Stegostoma tigrinum: one gene and its partner. The protein of the gene in region 1 interacts with the protein of each later gene in a biochemical or structural test. Links are inferred from orthologs where the notes say so. Each region holds a gene or a part of one and is shown on either strand. Other genes may lie near its edges. The genes, in order: pdgfra and platelet-derived growth factor subunit A-like.

Region 1 (10,012 bases):
CATTACTTTGTACACCGTGAACAATAATGCATTTTTAGGATTGCAAAAACGGGAAAAATGTTGTATAACGATAAGCAAATGATAATTGAATAAATGCATCCACGAAAGGATAAGGATGCAAAATATATATTTAGTGATGCATGCGTCCGTCTTTTTGCCTGTTTTAAATAATTCTCCGATATAAAGTCGCAGTTTACAGTTTCCTTCTGCACTTTGATATGAAGCAAAGTCACCACAGAAATAATGTATGTGCCTGCGATTGATAACCTGTTTCAAACCTAAATCGCATTTTCTTAACCGCTTAGGTACGGACTATCTCTTGTACATGCTACAATCAGACACATTCCAATAGAAAAGAGTCCACGAAGCGAGTGTCCACTTGGCTCCTTATCAGTTGTCTGCTGTCTCGTCTCTTTCTTTTGTTGGATTGGATTTTGCAAAGTACTAGGGTAAACACAATTTCTAAATGGATTCCCCCATTGTATAACCATTGTATAACCAGACTAATTACATCAATCCGCATAAAAATCACTGTGTGAACGGACAATGGGTCATTGCCAAAGTTATGCAATTAACCTAAAGTCTTCTCGGATTTTGTGATGATGATTGCGCGGGAGTTGAGCACAAGACTGAGTCCGAGGCTGGAGTGCTTCCACCCGGGAATAATGGATGACAAACAATGCGCTGCTGCCAGGTCAGAATGCCATGGTTCTCAGAGGCAAACATGTCCTCTCGTTAGTCACCCAGAAATGTGCCAAGCTCAGCAATGTCATTATCTTGTCATTGTTCGTTCAAACTCTCGATTTGCTGCTCTATTAAACAGGCCCCGCGTTTACAAACCGTGTATTATAGCTCTGCGTTGCACTTTTTTCTATAAACAAGTATCAAAATACAACGAGCGATGCATTAAAGAAAAACCTTTTAAGCTGAAAGCGTTGTTGTAATTATCAGGCAGCCCACTGCAACGAAACAAAACTTATCTACCAGTTTTTATATTAAACCCTGCACTGCTTGGATTGAGCAACAGCGGTAATTGGTTTTGGTTAACCAGGGGCAGCCACGTCCCGTGAATAAATAAAACAAAAGTTCTGTGAGTCTTTGACAGTCATGATGACATTTAGCACCTCTATGCTGACTTATTCCTCCTAGATACCTATTAGACCTAGCGTTGTTCATCTTTCTCAGGAAGGGTCACTGGACCCGAAACTTTAACTCTGTTTTTTCCTTCACTGGTGCTGCCAGACCTACTGAGCTTTTCCAGCAACTTTGGTTTTGTTCATCTTTCTTGTTGGTCTGTCTCTGGTTGTCACTGCCTACGTCCATCTATCACTGCCATCCCTGTGCCATCTGTTCCTTTTCATGACCAATTACCTGTCAATTGCATTTAACCAGCTGCTTTTCCATGTGAACAGTCATTCAGGAAATGCCACATTTTGCATCATTTGTGGTCTTCTGCTGCGGACAAGAAGCACCTGAAATCATTCAGTCAGGCTGGAGTGACAAAGGAGAAGAGGAGGCGAACAGGACTCGGTTTTTTTAAAACCTGAGGTTGCAGGCGAGATAGGCAACTAAATTTGTCGTTTCATTGAGCTGGGCTCGAGGTGTGAGCTAGTCACATAGAGAGCCACCGTACTGAGTTCTACCGCAGTTGGCAGACCGAGAGAAAGCCCTTTCACATTTATACACCAAGTAGCGCTCCGTTTGGCTTAACGCTGGGCTGAGAATTGATTAACAGCTCCCCGCGAATTTTATAACACGTCCCAGAACTTCAGAGATAGTAGGAACTGTCGATGACTTGCTATTCTAGATAAAAAGTAAAGAACTTTACGAGTACGCTCATTAAATATGAATCGGAAAGTTAAATGGAAACGCAAATGGCTGAAGAGAGAATAGTATTTATGAATGATAAAATAGTTTATGGTGAAGAACTACGCAGTATCCTGGGTGACAGTAGAGTGGGTTAGACGGATAGACTGGGAGTTGACCTTTTCTCATTTCCACTCCAGCAAGTGTTCTAATCCGATATGACACGAAAAGGTCCCGCTTTTTAAAACTGCTTTAGTGTGAGGGCAAGGTATTGAGAATAGTCTTGATGAAAACAAACGGTACAAACCGAGTTCTGGCTGGTGGTCCGTGTTTCTGAAGAAAGCAGGATTGAGAGGTGCAATGAAAAGTCTTGTAGAGTGCAGTTGGTCCAGCAAAATGTCTTTGCCAGTTCCGAAAGAACCTGTGTTTGATTACATTGTTCATCTGTTGTGAAACGTTCATGAACGACATTGTTACAGTCGGGGCATGTGCCAGCGAGAGAGAGAGAGAGAGAGAGAGAAATCAGTACACTGCCACTGGAAACGAATGGAGCTTTTAAGTTCAGGAGCGAGTCTCAGAACGCAAGATACGAGTCAAACAACATTCAAGTGAGGATACTCTAGAAGGTGCCAAACCAAACGATCATTAAGACTGAACCGGATCGAATGTGGTCATAAAACAAAGCTCACACACTAGAACTAATTGCGCTCCTGGTTGTAAATGGCCAGCATCAGTTTGTAAAACTGTAGTTTTAAAGCTGGGATCGAAAACCAGATGAAGTCTCGGTTTACGAACCAGTCAGCTACATCAAAGGGAAAGCAACTGCGTTCGCCTTCGCTGACAACTCAGTCCCAAAGCGTTCACAACGGCCAGATTACACCGAAAAAAAAAAGACTTGAAACCCCCGCACAACTCCGGCAGCTCCATATCGAGCAAAAAATTATTTATCCCGTGGACAACACTCACAGCGGGGGTGGTGGGGACAGAATTTCACAGAGCACACTGAACAAATACGAGCTAACAGTTCATAGAATATCCCACAGATTGGACCTTGATAGCGGCCTGTTATCAATGCGAGAGGTCCCTTGTGACACATGGTGAAGGGAGTTGGGACAGTCAGGGAGCCATCCACGGACACATATGGTGTGCATTTAAACGCTTCCTATTAGAGTATGGCCTGATAAGAGACAAATAAACAAACAGACCTGTCACTTTGGGAGACATTTTCTTACCCCCCCTCCCTTATACCCGTTCGGACCACACAGCGCCTCTGTGCTGGCTGGGTAGTTTATTAATTGTCTTTCCCGGCAGTTTGATTCACCCCAGTAGGAGCAACGGAACCCAGCTGCTCTGACTAATCTACCCCCAAAAAGAAAAGAAATCATGAGGAAGGACAAGTTACGGATTGCTTTCAACAGTATCGCGGGCCCCCTCTGGTCAAATGGCTTTCTTGGTCTCCGTGTCATTTGCACCCACGCAGCCCCCTAATAAAGTCAAGGAGTTAGTCTGTCATTGAATTCAATTAGGTTAGCTCCAAAAAGAGTGATAATTGCCTTTTAAACACAAAATCCTTTCACCAAACTCCCAAACTTGCAAATAACTTATTACACCGTGGAATCTTTATTTGTTTAAAGTATTCGTTAAGGAGAGCAAAGCGGAGGTTTGGGAATGAAGGAGCAAATTACTGCAGATGTTATTCTGAGTCTGGGAACGGGAGTTAGATCGATAACAGCAGCGCTGCTCATTGCTGACGGGCAGGCACTGAGCTCCCCCTGAAGATGCAGTGTTACCAACACATGCAAGTCTCACAGTTCTGTGCTTATCTTCGCCGGAGTGCCGGGGTACTGAAGCAGAGCGCATGTTATGTCGTGGAATGGAAATCGCCCCCAACCAGACTGCTGAATTAAAACATGCTGTAGCGTAATGTTAAGAGTAACCTGGGTAAAGAGCATGTTTACGTCAGACCAATTTGCGTTGTGTGGACGCACGTCTTCCCACAGTAACGAGGTTATGATCTAACAATGACACATCTGTCCACATCAGGATTGATCGAGTGGGCCGTGTATCTTTCCGTTTTATTTCAGAAGAAACCCTCCCAATCCAGGCGAATAAATATGCGCATACGCTGATAATCTCCCGTTCAAAATCGCAAGTCTTCCTCTGCACTTGCTGGGTTTATTCCAGCAGGTATAGAGGTGGTTCTGCTGTACCCCTGCATCCTATGGGCCAGGTGCACAAGCGCCCAGACGAGGGATTTTCTATTACACTGGAGGCTGAGCAATCTCAGCTCTTTGGGCCAAACGATTGCCCTGGCCAAGCCTGCAATCTTGCCGACCTTTACCTTCAACCAGCCCAATAGGCCGTGGACATCATCCTTGGGAGCAGGCGGGTGGGGTTAATGGTGTTCCTCTAGTTCGGAATCCCTTCAAGATGGCCTGTTGGTGAGAAGCTGAAAGTGGAGCCTCGATTGTTGACTGGCGGGTCAGGGCGGTGTGTACCTAGCTAGGGCTCACAGGGAGCTCGGCTGCTGACTGGAGGTGGTATTCCACCGACCTGTTCTTCTCCCCACACACCCCTCCAAACGCTGCAGGTCAGTGCGCCGAGGGAGTGACCTTGTATTGGAAATCTACACTGTAGTAATTCAGCAACAGAGAGCTCACCTTCACCTTGCATCAAGTTTACTCTGTGCTTGACCTTCCATCCACGTATTCATCATTCCCGACAAAGTCAATTAACTGGATGTTTGCAAGAGGCAGCAATGTTTTTCAAATTGCAACCAATTGACTCAAACTATTGTTCGGTCTGCCGACTGATGTACACTCAAACCATTACAATCTCAGGCTCAGACTTGTAAATAGGATATAGCTACACTCTAACCCCCCAGCGTGGCTTCTTAGAGTTATTTGATTTCTTACAAGATAACGCAGTCGGTGTTTAAACAATAAACTGAAATAATTTCTTAGTTGGAAAAACAGCTAAATGTACCACCGAGGGTGAAAACATGACAAGTCCAAAGAGCGAGAAACTCAGCGAAGTATTCGGGAAATAACAACAGGGTTTGAAATGGACAGGGACTGCAAAACTCTCGGCTTTTTTTTCCCTTTTTGAAAAGTTAGTCTATCGATCGGCGCGTGTGCCGTCACTAATAGTTTATAAACACGCTCTTATTTACATCAAACACATTCGAACGTTCTCTCAGATGGGTAAGAGACTGTTTCTTTCGGAATAATACGGTATCTCCGAGCATCCAGAAACAAGAGGTTCCCCAGATTGGCCTCGCTGTTGCCTCCAATGATTTCCTGAAACACATGTGGAAGTAATATTTGGCCTGTTCACTCCCAGCGCTGAAGATATATTACTGCAGCTAACGGCTGGGGGCAAGATGAGAAACAGCAGCGAGCTACACAAAAAAAAAACAGGAGAACGAACAAGCCCGCTCCTTCCAGCGGGCACCCAGTGTTGGCACATAGTTTGCACAATTGCTCCCCGCCACATTTCTTTCGATATTTACACCCTTGCTTTATCCCAATTGATTAGAAGATGGAGACGGTCTGAGCTTGTTAGACAACATGTCAAACCGACCTTTTCATGCAGCCAGTTCGGGTTTTTAAATGCAAAGAGAGCAGGCGATCTCACCTCACTCCTGGGCAATAACTCCCAAGGAACAGAACAAGGGCGCCTCCTGCCTTCACTGGTCAATATTGAATCAGGTCATTACGCGAAACGATCTGTTTACAACATACTTAAATCATTTTACCCAGTGTTTAGGAATGTCTTCTGTTTCCTATAATCCCAAAATAAAACACTTTGCAGATTTATTGCGGTTGACAACGTTCAGGAGGACATTAAAAATACTATGCAGTTCTCTTTCCCCCAAACCCTACCCCCACACCTCTCTAAACAAAACTCTGGCAAACAATCCTCAAATCTCTCAAGCCATTTCTATTTGAGTGACACTAACATTACAAACGTAACTGTCCCACTACATTGGTACTGAGCACAGATCAGCCGCGTTTAACAAGGGCTGGGAATTCATTCATAAAGACTAGCTATCCTTCCGTGAGCGTATTGTCAGCACGGGCGGAGGGGTGCAACTTGGGGAGAGAGAGAGAGAGGGAAACATTTTCGTCCATATAAAACTTGCTTCAAAATGCACATATGGCAATTTTCTGCGCAAGACAGCCTGAATGTGACTGCCCTGCGTGGATAAGAGTTTGGGAAGGCTAGCTTCGACCGCCTGAAGCCAATAGGGCTCCAAGAGCAGCGTGTGATCTGCGGACTCTTATTCTGAAGCGACTTCAGGGGCTTCATTTCCTGACAGTTATTTACTTAAAGCAGATGATTAGTTTTTTTGGAAGGATGGACTGCAACATTGAATCAATTACAAGTCGCCGTTCTTTGAGCCATTAAACAATCTGAGCCCAGCTCCAGAGTGAAACGTACATGCTGCCCCTGTTCGGAACAGAAGTTGGTGGACTTACCACTTTGCACAAGGTAGGGGGCAAACAAATCATTTTTATAAAGGCGTGCGGGGCGAGAGTGGGGGCCCTGTTTTATCTCCTTGTGTAAAATCTGTTAGTAAATAGGTCTGGCGTTCCAGACGACAATATAGATTGCACCCACAGCTGTGCCTGCACACATCCCTCTGCTGGTTCGCCGTCGGTCCAAAGGGGCACAAGCATCTTAAGGACTAGGAGAACTGCTTGTACTTTATTATGTAAGAGTCTTGTTCATATCGTCGATTGTTCTCAGAAGGCTGTTCGCTTTGGCCAGCGATGGAGTATGAAAGTGGTGCGTTTCATTGAGTGGAGTGCATGTTTTGAGTTTGGAAGTGAGCGCTTATCTGAGAGTGTGTGGCATGTTAGAGCGGTACCGTTATCGAGTGAGGAAACAGAGCGGCTCTGTGCACGGTCTTGGGTCATGATAACCGTCCCGCTGCATTTAACTTGGCCAGCCGCGCTGCAGACTGATGGCTCCATTGCATAATACCTATAATAATGACAAACACATTGGCGCTGGATGTGGGAGCCACCGTGAGCCTGCGTCAGGGATTTGAGGAATTTCGGACGAAGTGGAGGCTTTCTGTCTCTCCTTCTCTCTTCCTGGGAATACTCCGCTGTCCTGGGATCGAGGGTGGCGGAGGGAGAGATTTGGGGATTGTACAGGAGTTCTGGCGTGCGGATGAATCACGTAAACAGGAAGGAGGGAGAAGTGAGCCAATGCTTGTTGGCTAGTCCGTGAGGGAAAGCAGTATCGGGAGGTTTCTGCGAAACTTGCGAGAGGGGAAAGTAGCAGCAGGATAAACGAGGTAGGAATCAATGTAGTATTTCAGTAATATCTCTCTCTTCGCTCCTTTTCTTATAACTTGTTTCTTTCTTCATCATTTGGCTGTAGTTAGACTCACTCTCAGGAAACTTGATCATTCATTTTAATCATTTCCTTCATTCAAACCCCCTTCAGTTCTGGAAGAGAATGAACAGTAAAACTTACAACTTTACTCCGATTCTCTCTAAGCCGACTTTTCCCACTTGCTGTTCCATCGTTCGCACTATTTTGTCACTTTGCCCCCACCCCCAGGTCCTTTAGCCTCTATAGTTATCCACTCGCCCACTGCCCAACTCCCCCCCCCCCCACTCTCTCTGTTTTACCGCTGTACCCAAAAATAGTTTCTCTACTCTGGTACTGGATTTTTTGTTTTCTCTGAGAGGTGCGTCTGATTTGCTGTCTGCCCTGCTCCGTGTGCCCGTTGCCTTCTCTTGCTCAGGAAACACCCGGAGCAGACCCTTTGCCCGGCATCCCCCCCCCCCCAACACCCCACACAGCACTTCCCCGCGCCGATCTCCCCTGCTCCCCTCTTTTTGCCGGGGACTCGATCCGGAGATTGAGAAGCGGCAGACGGACCGATGGACGGGTAAACATTTGGCCCGAAGTAGTCGCAGCTCTTCATCAGAAGTGCCAAAAGCCAGTGGGAGGGCTGTTGAAACCGAGACCCTGCTGGGTGGCACTGAAATGGTTAAGAGCAGCGCAGATACAGAGAGAGAGAGAGAGAGAGAGCGCAGCGCTCCGCGCGGTGGGTAGCTGGCACTTTAAGAAGCCCCAGCTCTTATTGAGAAAAGTAAAGTCGGTAACAATGGGACTTCTGTAAGGCTATCTTCTGATAAAACAGCTCCTGTTGTCGGGAAATCCTTTCTGTTTCTCTCTTTCTCTCTAATCCTTTTATTTAACCAAGTTAACCAAGACTGTGACTAAAACATGTTCGCTTTCAGTTGTCCTGGCCTCTCTGTTGTCATTATTCCCAGTCCCATCCTCTGCTCACAGTTCAGTCTTTCATGAACGGAGCGGAGCTCCACACTTTGTTATCTTGGAGCCCTGTTGAGGTGAGATTTTCGACGCAGAATCAAGCCAGCGGGTGGTGTCCCAAAGATTTCGAAATGTTCGCCTTTGGGAGGCGACTCTATTTGCACTGCCAGCTCACAGGACCCCTGCAGGATTTTGACCGAGCGGAGAGAGGATGCGCTTTGCCTATTCACTCCCCTGGGACATCCCAGGGGTTTGGTGGCGAATCCAGGGGGTAGTTTGGAGCTGACCTCCTCACACTGGAGTCTGCTCCCCGTCTTGTTGCACTTAAAGGACGCTTGGAGGAATCTGATAAATTACCCTAGGGTTTAGCACGTCCCAAATGCACATCCTCCACAACAAAAACAACCTGAATCAAAGCCGGTTACTCAGGTCAAGCCACTCTGCTGCTGAGTAATCCCGGACAGGCAGGATGAGAGCGGCGGGTGGGTATAACTGAGTGGCCTGCAGCCTGTCCCCCAGGTCTCTGGCTGTTTCGCCCCTTTGTAACGTGGAGTCAACTCGAGTCTTCACCAGGTTCTTTTTTCTACCTTCAAACATCGCTTGGGATTACGAATATTGAATGCAGAATGTAAATGCTATATCTGTAACTTGCTGTTCCTCTCACAAACATTAATAGAGGTTTAAAATGTCATCAGATTGACAATGACAAAGGATACCCTCCTGCACGTGACAAAACTGGGATGTGGGTGCTGTACGTTTTTTTCCCTACTGCAAGTATTTCGAGAACACTTGTGTGTGTGTGTGTGTGTGTGTGTGTGTGTTTTCCTTAATAAAGTTACAAGGTACGCCAATGTATAGTTCACCCAAGTCTAGTTCTCTCAGCAGCGCCCTTATCCGCACAAGAAAACCCAATCAAACTTTACATGCATGTAAATACAATCCCACGTGTGCATCTAGCACCCCCTACAGACCAGAGGAGAAGTGCAAATGGGATTGAACGAAAATAAATCATTTACGCCCCTCTTGTTCCCCGCTGACTGCCAATAAATGGTAATAACTGGATTTCAGGAAGTGACATTCCCGGGGGAGAACTGAATTGACAAGGATTGGTTCCAGTCATTGTGATACCACAATGAGAGTGTTACTCCTGTCTACAGTGGAGGAGCGCTACACCCAGGGGCTTCTCATTCTGAAAAAAGACCCTCAGAATTTCCGGATTCGGTGGTCTCAATGTTCTGGCGAGTTCTAACAGGCTAAACCGGAGAAATAGAACGAAACCGACATCGACTGCAACGTTAAGACATTAATAAAATGATGTTGCCAGTGGGATGCCTCACTAAAGTGCTGCAATAACCAATTTGCTGTTGTGTGCACATACCCAGTGTAGACCCGTGTGTTCCACTTTGGAAATTGGACACACAAACAGTTTAAACCTTATTTACAGGTCTAAACATCTGGTGTGTTTCACTGGGCTTTGAGTAAGAATTCTCCGTTGACGATCTCAGTTGTATTAGAGAGCCACGCTTTGGCTTGAAGCAGGAATGCAGTCATTTCATGGTAATCCCATAGCGCCAGGGTCCCTAAAAGCGGTTGACGTTTGTAAACAACCCTGCTTATTATATACTTATTACGTTAGTTAACCTTCATTTAAGGAACAGAGTACTTCTTTAAACTAAAATAGCCATATGTACTTTCTTTTGAGAGTCTGTGTTTTAAAGCGGGGAAGTGCTCCCATTTATTCAAACTTTCATTTCAGGGCTAAAATCCTGGGGATGTTGTTGCACTAAATCCTGACAAATTTATTCGGCCGATGTGGCAGTTAGGTTTGTCCCAGGTACCATTCTCAGAAATGATAATTAAAAGTAACTCCTAATTGTCTGGGTTGTCAGCGTGAACAGTCTCGAGG
Region 2 (10,516 bases), on another chromosome or scaffold:
AACCAGCAACTCATATTCCGCCTGGGAACCCTGCAGCCATATGGTATCAATGTGGACTTCACCAGTTTCAAAATCTCCCCTTCCCCTACTGCATCCCTAAACCAGCCCAGTTCGTCCCCTCCCCCCACTGCACCACACAACCAGCCCAGCTCTTCCCCCCCACCCACTGCATCCCAAAACCAGTTCAACCTGTCTCTGCCTCCCTAACCGGTTCTTCCTCTCACCCATCCCTTCCTCCCACCCCAAGCCGCACCCCCAGCTACCTACTAACCTCATCCCACCTCCTTGAGCTGTCCGTCTTCCCTGGACTGACCTATCCCCTCCCTACCTCCCCACCTATACTCTCTCCACCTATCTTCTTTACTCTCCATCTTCGGTCCGCCTCCCCCCCTCTCTCCCTATTTATTCCAGTTCCCTCTCCCCATCCCCCTCTCTGATGAAGGGTCTAGGCCCGAAACGTCAGCTTTTGTGCTCCTGAGATGCTGCTTGGCCTGCTGTGTTCATCCAGCCTCACATTTTGTTCTCTTAACCCTAGTGACATAGGTTTTGAATTTACCATCTCAACATTGTGGCAAGATCTCATCGGTCTTTCAGACGGAGATTTTACACCAAGGATCAGCTTGCCCTCTCAGATATATTTTATGGAACTATTTGAAAGAGAGCAGGATGCCTGATGCAATTTCACTCAAACCACATCATTAAAACAAATTATCTGGTAATTACTATTGTGGGATTTTGCTGTACACAAATTGGATGCCATATTGCAACAGAAGTTCAAAAGATTCTTTGGTGACTGTGCAGTCCTTTGGAATATCCCCATGGGTGTGAAAGGTGCTACATAAGGTTTTTCTTCCTTGCTAAATATTTTTAAAAAGTTGTCCTCAGTGTCCAATTGTTGTTAATTGATCAAAAGCTGGGAAAAGAATCAGTGGTTGTTAAGCTTCCAGTGGCCTGGTATTTAAAATAAAAAGTACTGTACATGGATGGAGCGAATGTGTTAAATGCTCAATGATCAAGTAGTTTCTGCGTCAAGAAAACAGTGAACTTGAATAGTGATAATGGGAACTGCAGATGCTGGAGAATCCAAGATAACAAAGTGTGGAGCTGGATGAACACAGCAGGCCAAGCAGCATCTCAGGAGCACAAAAGCTGACGTTTCGGACCTAGACCCTTCATCAGAGAGTGCAAACTCATTGCACCCTCTCTGATGAAGGGTCTAGGCCCGAAACATCAGCTTTTGTGCTCCTGAGATGCTGCTTGGCCTGCTGTGTTCATCCAGCTCCACACTTTGTTATCTTTAGTGAACTTGAATAACCCACCCCACCATTTTCCACTAAAATTGTATACTTGCAGGTTTATCGTCATTACTGGAACACGGTTTGAAAAATATATAGGCTTTTAATTGCAGTATTTTATGTCTTCCATTATACAGTATTTCGAATGAAGCATTCAACCGTGAAACGTATTTGAAGTTGAGCTGTCTGCAAGTACTTCTGTGTTATGACTATCACCTAACATATTTCTGAATGTTCTCCACAAATAGATCCCTCGGGATAGTTGTTAGGGGGTGCTGTCTACTTCGAGGGCATGTTTAACGCTCAAACTCTGCATCAAGGAGATCAATCCTTTCTCTGGTCAAACGGATCAATGTGCTGATTACCATTACTGAGGCACTCTCAAGTGCTTGCTGTCTTTCAGTTTTGACGCTTGTAATTCACACGACATTCAACAAACCGTCTGTACAAATAAAATATCCATCCGGTGTTTCTACTATAAACGCCTCAAACATCAAGTACTCTTGCTTAGTGTGGGACGGCGGACGCGCCGTGCCATCACAGGCTGACTTCAAAAATGCAGTTCCAAGCCTTTCACAATTTATTTTTTGTGTTGTGTGGGGTTGGGTTGGGAGGAGGGGTTTTAACAAAGTGGAATACCCCGGTCATTGAGAGCGACGCCCTGGTTGTAATGTTACAGAGATCGCTAGCTGCCTTGCAGCCTGTCTGCATTGATGTTTTAAGACAAGATTCTGAAATCCACAGACTTCATTTCATTACACAAGAAACAATTAATAAACATGACAGGAAGCGTGAAATGTACGGTTTACTGTTGCAGGGCAATAACGTGGTCCCATGTGTGAGACAAAGAAGGTAATATATACATATAAACATAATTTACCTACGGATTCAATCTCCAGGAGGCGCTGAAGATCGCGGATGCTGGTAATATCACTGTGTGCCAGCTTCTCAAGCAATTCTGGGGGAAATTCAGCTTCCTTGGAAGAAAATGAGCCAAATAAGCGAAAATAAGTGCAAAAATAAAATAATGGACAAAACAAATGACGCATCTTACTCCCCGGTAAAAATGTTTTAACTAAAAATAAACTTTCTAAGTTCTTTAGAAACTTTATAAATCATTTGAACGTACGCCGGGCTGACCCACTCTTGGAAGGCATGCAGTGTAAAACGGGGTTGAGACAGGCCGAGTAAAACCAGCGCGCACTTGAGGTTGTGAGCATGATGCCTTCAGATCGAATGCTCAGCCCCAGCTTCACACAGTAAACAGCTCTGAAGTGACCGACAAGGGAGCAAGATCGTTTTGCAAACCACCATTGCACTCGTTCTCACTGATTCGCAGTCGGTGGCCGAACAAAATGTAGCAGTGCTAAATCAAGCGCACCAGAAGGTTAGTGGGCTCGGAGTGGAGCACCTGGTGTTTTGTTTCCTTGTAACTCTTGCACAGTCTGATACTTTGATCGGAGACAAACACAAGCCGTAACAGAGAGACCTCCGCCACGCCGGTACTTTGACCCCAAACCTAGCCTTCAAGCGATAACAATAATTTGTTGTGCTGCTTTCCCTCCCTTCCAGATCTGATGTCTTTCGGGGAGAAAGAAGATAATAAAAGTCACCATTCTGGCCGCTCCCGATCGTTTTCCCCTTTATTTGCTCCAGCTCACTTAGTGAACACTGAGGCGTTTCGGAGCACAAGCCAAGACCTGCAGCAAAAAATGCTGTCATGCACCAACTTAGTGCAGTGCACAAATATCCATTCCCTGAGGGAATAAAACAAAAAGCAACAGAACCGTTTGCCCGATTTTAACGGAGCGGACTATTTGCAAGCACATTTGGCGGAAAAACCGACGCAAGACTTGTCTAGCAGACGAACTGCGATTGCACAGAGCCAGCTTTGCGGCCAGGGACTGGTTAACAAAAGCACAGCTCGTTAAAAAAAACACACACAAAAGCTCAAAGAAAACTGCAGAAGAACCATCCGCTATCACTCAAGATAAATAAAGAGAGCATGGACAGCGGGCAGCCATTAGGAGGTTGAGTTATTGTGCTTTAAAGTAATAGCTTACCTCTGTACGCGCACAGGTCAGGTAGCAAAAGCCCAGAATGAAATAAACCGTGGCTCGCATTTCGTTTCACTTTAAGTTTGTCCTGCAGCGAGAATCGATCATTTAGGAGCTTCAGCGGCGCCCCTATCGCAGAAAAAATCAGTACCATCCCTCGGAAAAGTAACTAGAGTGAGGATTTTTTTTCTTGTTTCACATTGGATTTGTACGTTTCCTTGCCGTCCTCTCTCTCTCTTCCTCTCTCTCTGGCATCAGCAGTAGACCAGCCGGTAGATCTGCATATTTGTTCAGATCAGACCAAACTGAAAAACCCATGAGTCAACACTGCACCGGACTGATACGCCCATCACCTGTCTGGCTGCACAGGAGAAAAAAGGGGATGGGACACTGAGTCTCTGAGAGAATTTATCATAAATATGGACTTATTCCTGTTATTTTGAAAATTCACCAGTTGGACGATCCCATTTAAAGACACACAATAAGACAGAATTCAAAATCTGGCAAACTGTTTTTGGAGTTTTTCCCCAATTTAATTCTTTCAATTAATTTGAGCTCGAGTTGTTAATTCTTGCAGTTTGTCCGGTAGCGGCCGAAGTTCACACGGTGGGCAAGGAGAAAGGGTTTCCTTTCGGTTTAGAAATCGCTGCCATATCGGATGAAAAATGTTAGAGCCGGTGTAGAAGCGCCTTGCCGAGAGCTTGATGATCCCACTCTGACAAAGGAACAGAGGCTGATTGTAGAGCTCCTCATGCCCCCAACTCCAACCTCGAAAAGAGCTGTAGACTGAGACAGTTTGACATCACGCCGCCGACTGGCGAGTTACTAGGACAGCGAGAGGCGGCTCTCGCACACGGTCTCCGCCCAGGCACAGTTCCTTATGGCCCGTGGCTCCTGCCCTTGGGCACACGGTGAGCTCACCGCAATGCGCGGAATCACCCTGGCCGGTCCCTGCTATCCTGGAAGCCCAACTCCGTCTGTCCTGTACATGGCCATGACAGAACACAGGTTCCTAGTCTCCGGGAGGGAGATGTGCAAGGGGGGAGTGGTAAGGAGGGGTAGGACAGTGGGGAACGGTGAGAGAGGGATTTAGTGGCGGGGAGGGGTGTTGGGGGGGGGGGGAAGAGAAGGTAGAGAAAGTGGGGTTAGAGGGAGATGGAGAGGGGGAGAGCAGAGAGATGAGTGTGAGAAGGGAATCCATACAGTGTGGAAACGGGCCCTTGGCCCAACAAGTCCACACCGAATCTGAGAGCATCCCACCCAGACACACCCCTGTAACCCACCTAACACACCCCTGAACACTATGGGCAATTTCCCAGAGCCAATCCACCTAACGTGCACATCTTCAGACTGTGGGAGGAAACCGGAGCACCCGGAGGAAACCCACGCAGACACAGGGAGAATGTGCAAGCTCCACACAGTCACCCACGGGTAGAATTGAACCCAGGTCCCTGGTGCTGTGAGGCAGCAGTGGTAATCACTGAGCCACCCTGCTGCCCCAAAGGAAGAGAATGGAGGGCGGGAGGGGGGGATGAACGAGAAGGTCGGGGACGCGAAGAGGGAGGGGGCAGAGTGATGGGGGAGGAGAGGGAGAGGGAAGAAGGCATGGGGGTGAAGGGAGAGAAGTGAGGGAGGAAAAAGGGAGGGGTAACAGAAGGAATGGGGTGATGGGGGAGAAGGGAGCGGGACAGAAGGGATGGGGTGAAGGGAGGGAGGACAAAAGGGATGGAGGTGAAGGGGGGGACACAAGGGAGAGGGGTGGTGAGGGGGAGAAGGATGAGGGATGAAGGGGAGAAGGGAGGGGAAAGAGGGGAGGAGGTGAAGGGAGGGGAGAGAGATGGGAGGGCGGTGAGAAGGGAGGGGGATGAGGAGAGGGAAATGAGAAAGGAGAGAGGAGAGAACGGAGGGAGAGAAGGGAGGGTGGTGAAGAGAGGGAGAGGGGAAGAGGAGAGGAAAGGGAGGGGGAGAGGAGCGAGGTTGGAAGGAAGGGAGGGGGAGATGGTAGAGGAGGGGGAGAAGGAGGGGAGGGTGGGCACTGGAGTGGGAGGGAGGGGGAAGCTGGTGTGGAGGAGAATGAGAGGATGCGAGGCGGGTACAAGGAGAGGGGGTTGGGGTGAATAGTGGAGGGGTGAGGGAACAAGGGGAATGAAAGAAGTGGGCTGAGGGGGGAGCAGACAGCGGAACCGGGGGGCATAGGTGGAGGGATATTGGAGGGGGGAGAATAGGGTTGGAGAAATGGGGAGGGGATGGGTGGGGACAGGAATAGGAGAGTGGGGGGGCAATAGGAGAGAGTGGTGGGAGTGGAATAGCTGGGGTGGTTAGGGTTATGCCTGTGTTTATCTTCCATAAATGTTACTTCCCACAGTTTTTCACTTCACCCTATCATAATGTGGAAGGGCAGGTAGAAACATTACTGCAAGCCATTTTCCTTGAGCAGAGTATTATTCTACCCACATGACATTCCTGTGCCTCACACAGAAACATTTCTTAATAAAAACTGACATTGCTGGAAAATTTCAGCATCTGTGGAGAGAAATCAGAGGTAACATTTCAAGTCAAATTTCAAGACACTTCCTCATAATTTTAAATAATGGAAAACACAAAAGAATTCTGACCCATACCTACCTGTTTTTGACCCACAGTTGGGTGACAGCAAGCTTCAAGTTAATCATAGATAATAAAATGTGAGGCTGGATGAACACAGCAGGCCAAGCAGCATCTCAGGTGCACAAAAGCTGACGTTTCGGGCCCAGACCCTTCATCAGAGAGTTATGATTGGATTTTTCTGTTCTCCTCAAGCAAGTTCCCTCAACACATAACCTCTTCCTCATATTTCCTTTTCTATCCAAGGCCATGATCCTTCCACTGCACTAACCCCACCCGTCGTATACTACTTCATGCCTTCACACCTTCCCCATGTCCCCTCACATTCCTTTCCCGCTTCCTCCCCATTCTTTCACCCCCTTCCCCATCCAACTACTTCCCCCTCCCCCATTCTCATCCCTAATTACCCCTCCCCCTCTCCATATCCCTCTTTTCCCCTCCTTCTATCTACCTGTTCCCATCTCGCCACCCTCCCCATCCGCCATCCCATCCTCTTCCTTACCTCCTTCCCCCTTACCCTCCATTCCCCTCTCCCTCATCCCCCAACTCCCTTCACCTTCCCCCAACCCCTGCCCCAACTCCCTCCACCTAAACCCAATCTCCTCCCCATCTCCCAACTCCCTCCGCCTTCCCCCTCCCCATCCCCCAACTCCCTCCGCATTCCCCAACTCCCTCCTCATCCCCCAAATCCCTCTGCCATTCCCCTCCTCATCCCACAACTCCCTCCGCCTTTCCCCCTCTCCCAACCCCCTCCGCCTTCCCCCAACCCCGCCATACCCCAACTCCCTCTGCCTTCCCCCAACCCCCTCCCCATCTCCCAAATCCCTCCACCATTCCCTGCCCATCCCCCAACTCCCTCCGCCTTCCCCAACCCCGCCATACCCCAAAACCCTCTGCCAACCCCCTCCGCCTTCCCCCAACCCCCTCCGCCTTCCCCCAACCCCCTCCGCCTTCCCCCAACCCCCTCCGCCTTCCCCCAACCCGCTCCGCCTTCCCCCAACCCGCTCCGCCTTCCCCCAACCCCCTCCGCCATCCCCCAACCCCCTCCGCCATCCCCCAACCCCCTCCGCCATCCCCCAACCCCCTCCGCCTTCCCCCAACCCCCTCCCCATCCCCCAACCCCCTCCCCATCCCCCAACCCCCTCCCCATCCCCCAAATCCCTCCCCATCCCCCAAATCCCTCCACCATTCCCCAAATCCCTCCCTATCCAACCCCCTCCTCATCCCCCAAACCCCTCCTCATCCCCCAAACCCCTCTGCCATCCTCCAACTCCCTTCGGCTTCACCCCTCTCCCAACTCCCTCTGCCTTCCCCCAACTCCCTCAGCCTTCGTCCCACCCCGTTCCCATCCCCCAAATCCCTCCACCATTTCCTCCCCATCCCCCAACTCCCTCCGCCTTCCCCAACTCCCTCCGCCTTCACCCCTCCCCCACCTTCTCCCCACGCCCCTCTCCTTCTCCCTCCTCTTCCCCCTTCTACTCTCCTCACCCCTTATCCCATCTAACCCCAGCCCCCGACCATTATCCCTTATCCCACCCCTTTTCCTGCGCCCCCCCCCACCCGGTTTGGGCGGGGTTAAACGGCCGTTGGAAAAGGCGCGTGCACCGCTCGCCCAGCTGCGCATGCCCACCTGGTGACACGTGCCGCCGTGGTTACCTAATCAGAGCCGCTCCCACGCTGTGACGTTGTGGGGAGTCGCCTGCGGGCTGTGTCACGTGCGGCCCGCTGACATGTGCGGAAGCTGCAAGCGGCCGAAGTGAATCTCATTAGCAGCTGTAAGCTAGTGGTGCCACCCTCCTGTTTGCAAACACTGTTGTTCACATCCCCTTCCACTCCGTTAAGCATAAAGCGCGTTCGGTCCTGAATCATGCCTGCCTGTGTCAGCGTTCGGTTTGGGCGTGAAATTTGCGGCACACACGGCTTTCTGCTTTGATATGAGGGACTCATTTTGAAGCGGCGAGATCATTTACCAGATGAAACAAGGCGTGCGAGCTACTTATTGCAAAAAACGACAGATTGAGCAAATTAGAATCGACTTGCTTTTTGATAGTTCCGTGGTATGGCGCCAATAGGCCAGACTTTGATCGAAGGGGAGTGGGAATAGTGCAAAGTACACACTTAATCCGTTTTCGTAGTCATATCTTAATCCCTGTCAAGTGGGACCGGAGCTTAATAAAGTTAATCAAGTTATTAACATTTTAGTTTTATGCCAGTTGCTGTAAATACACAAGTAGTGTTAAAAACAAGATGAATGCGACCAAATATAAGTTTGCAAACAGTAGGAAGTCGAGAATCCTGTTTTCTGCTCTTGATTGTATCACCGCACGGGGCTTTTGTGTCGCTCTTGGGTGCATGCCGAAACTAAGTAGCTTTAGACTGAGTCGGTGCAATTATGCCATCTGCAGTAACAGCTAGTAGACATTTATTTGGTATTTAACCCAAACCAGTCTTCAGCGCGGTGTCAACCTGCTGATGGTGAATGCATTGAAAGTTCAAATAAATCTTGCTTCTAAATTTTGAATGCATATGTAGATTGATTTCAACATGGAATGTTGTCGAGAGGATGATATGGCAGCTATTTATGTCGGCTGTGGGTTCACTGGATCACTCACTTCTGAGTTCGTTGGTCTGGGTCTGGTTCTGACGGCGGAGCACAAAAGGTATTGAACCAAGTGCTGCTTTTCCAATGAGATCTGATATTGCGGGCCTGTGCGTCCTTTCGGATGGAACCGTTAAGATCCCACACTTTCGAAGAGCAATTGAGTTCTGACTGGTGTCTTGCCTACGTTTATTCTTAAATCGACATTACACGCCATCATCGCAATACTGTTTGTAGGAGTTTGCTCTGCATAAATTATCTGCCATGTTTCCTACGTTCAAACAGTGACTACACTCCAATAAAGCTCAGTTGTGTGTAACTTGGAATGCCCTATGGTATAAATGGAAGCCTTTATTTCTCTTGCATAGCATTCTCTTTGGATAGCAGTAACAGAATAGGCCAGAGTCAGCATGGATTTTTGAAGGGGAAATAGTGCTTGAGTAATCTTCTGGATTTTTTTGAGGATGTATCTGAAGATGGTTAAGGGAGAGCCAGTGGATGTAGTGTACCTGGACTTTCAGAAAGCCTTTGATAAAGTCCGGCATAGGAGATTGGTGAACAAAATTAGGGCACATGGTATTGGGGGCAAAATACTGAGTTGAATTGAAAATTGGCTGGCTGACAGGAAGCAAAAAGTAGTGATAAACAGGTCCCTTTCGGAATGGCAGGCGGTGACCAGTGGGGTACCACAAGGTTCGGTGCTGGGACCGCAGCTGTTTACGATATATATTAATGATATAGACGAAGGCATTAGAAGTAATATTAGCAAATTTGCTGATGACACAAAGTTGGGTGGCAGTGTGAAATGTGAGGAGGATGTTATTAGAATACAGGGTGACTTGGGCAGGCTAGTTGAGTGGACGGATGCAAGGCAGATGCAGTTTAATGTGGATAAATGTGTGGTTATACACTTTGGTGGCAAGAACAGGAAGGCAGATTACTATCTCAATGGAGTCAAGTTAGGTAAAGGGGAAGCACAATGAGATCTAGGTGTTCTTGTACATCAGCCAATGAAAGCAAGCATGCAGGTACAGCAGGTAGTGAAGAAAGCTAGTAGCATGCTGGCCTTCATCACAAGAGGAATTGAGTATAGGAGCAAAGAGGTCCTTCTGCAGCTGTACAGGGCCCTGGTGAGACCGCACCTGGAGTATTGTGTGCAATTTTGGTCTCCCAATTTGAGGAAGGACATTCTTGCTATTGAGGGAGTGCAGCATAGGTTCCCAAGGTCAATTCCCGGAATGGCGGGACTATCATACGTTGAAAGATTGGAGCGACTGGGCTTATATACTCTTGAGTTTAGAAGGATGAGAGGGGATCTGATTGAGACGTATAAGATTATTAAGGGATTGGACACTGTGGAGGCAGGAAGCATGTTTCCGCTGTTGGGTGAGTCCAGGACCAGAGGACACATTTTAAAAATAAGGGGTAGGCCATTTAGAACAGAGTTGAGGAAAAACTTCTTCACCCAGAGAGTGGTGGATATATGGAATGCTCTGCCCCAGAAGGCAGTGGAGGCCAACTCTCTGGATGCTTTCAAGAAAGAGATAGACAGAGCTCTTAAAGATAGTGGAATCAAGGGTTATGGGGATAAGGCAGGAACAGGATACTGATTGTGGATGATCAGCCATGATCATAATGAATGGTGGTGCTGGCTCAAAGGGCCGAATGGCCTACTCCAGCACCTATTGTCTATAAACGCTATCAATTTATAATGTAACTTTCTATCTGCTCAGCAAGAAAACTACAAGGTCAATTGCTCATAGGTTCCATCTGTCTCCTATCATGAGAAATATGTCAGTATGCATCACATTAAGATTGATTCATTGTGGGGGCTGCATTATCCCTCCCTCCAGGCAAATATCAAGCAGGCTATTATAGTAACCATCTCGCATCTGCCACTGAATCACAGCAATAGGGAGTCGTGTTCCAGACACTTGCATCACCACAATATGTAAATCTGT

Evidence for each region.
Region 2: the proteins of pdgfra (region 1) and platelet-derived growth factor subunit A-like form a complex in vitro, tested with the Homo sapiens proteins (2 studies listed by BioGRID). The link is inferred for Stegostoma tigrinum from reciprocal best matches to the Homo sapiens genes PDGFRA and PDGFA.

What each region holds. Positions count from the first base shown.
Region 1 is NC_081354.1:107,875,280-107,885,291, forward strand, and holds the start of pdgfra (platelet-derived growth factor receptor alpha), read left to right. Parts: upstream 1-5,828; 5' UTR 5,829-6,300; intron 6,301-6,834; exon of another isoform or gene 6,835-7,114; intron 7,115-10,012. UniProt on the Homo sapiens protein: Tyrosine-protein kinase that acts as a cell-surface receptor for PDGFA, PDGFB and PDGFC and plays an essential role in the regulation of embryonic development, cell proliferation, survival and chemotaxis.
Region 2 is NC_081376.1:37,109,854-37,120,369, forward strand, and holds the start of platelet-derived growth factor subunit A-like, read right to left. Parts: upstream 4,338-10,516; 5' UTR 3,419-4,337; coding exon 3,359-3,418; intron 2,273-3,358; coding exon 2,176-2,272; intron 1-2,175.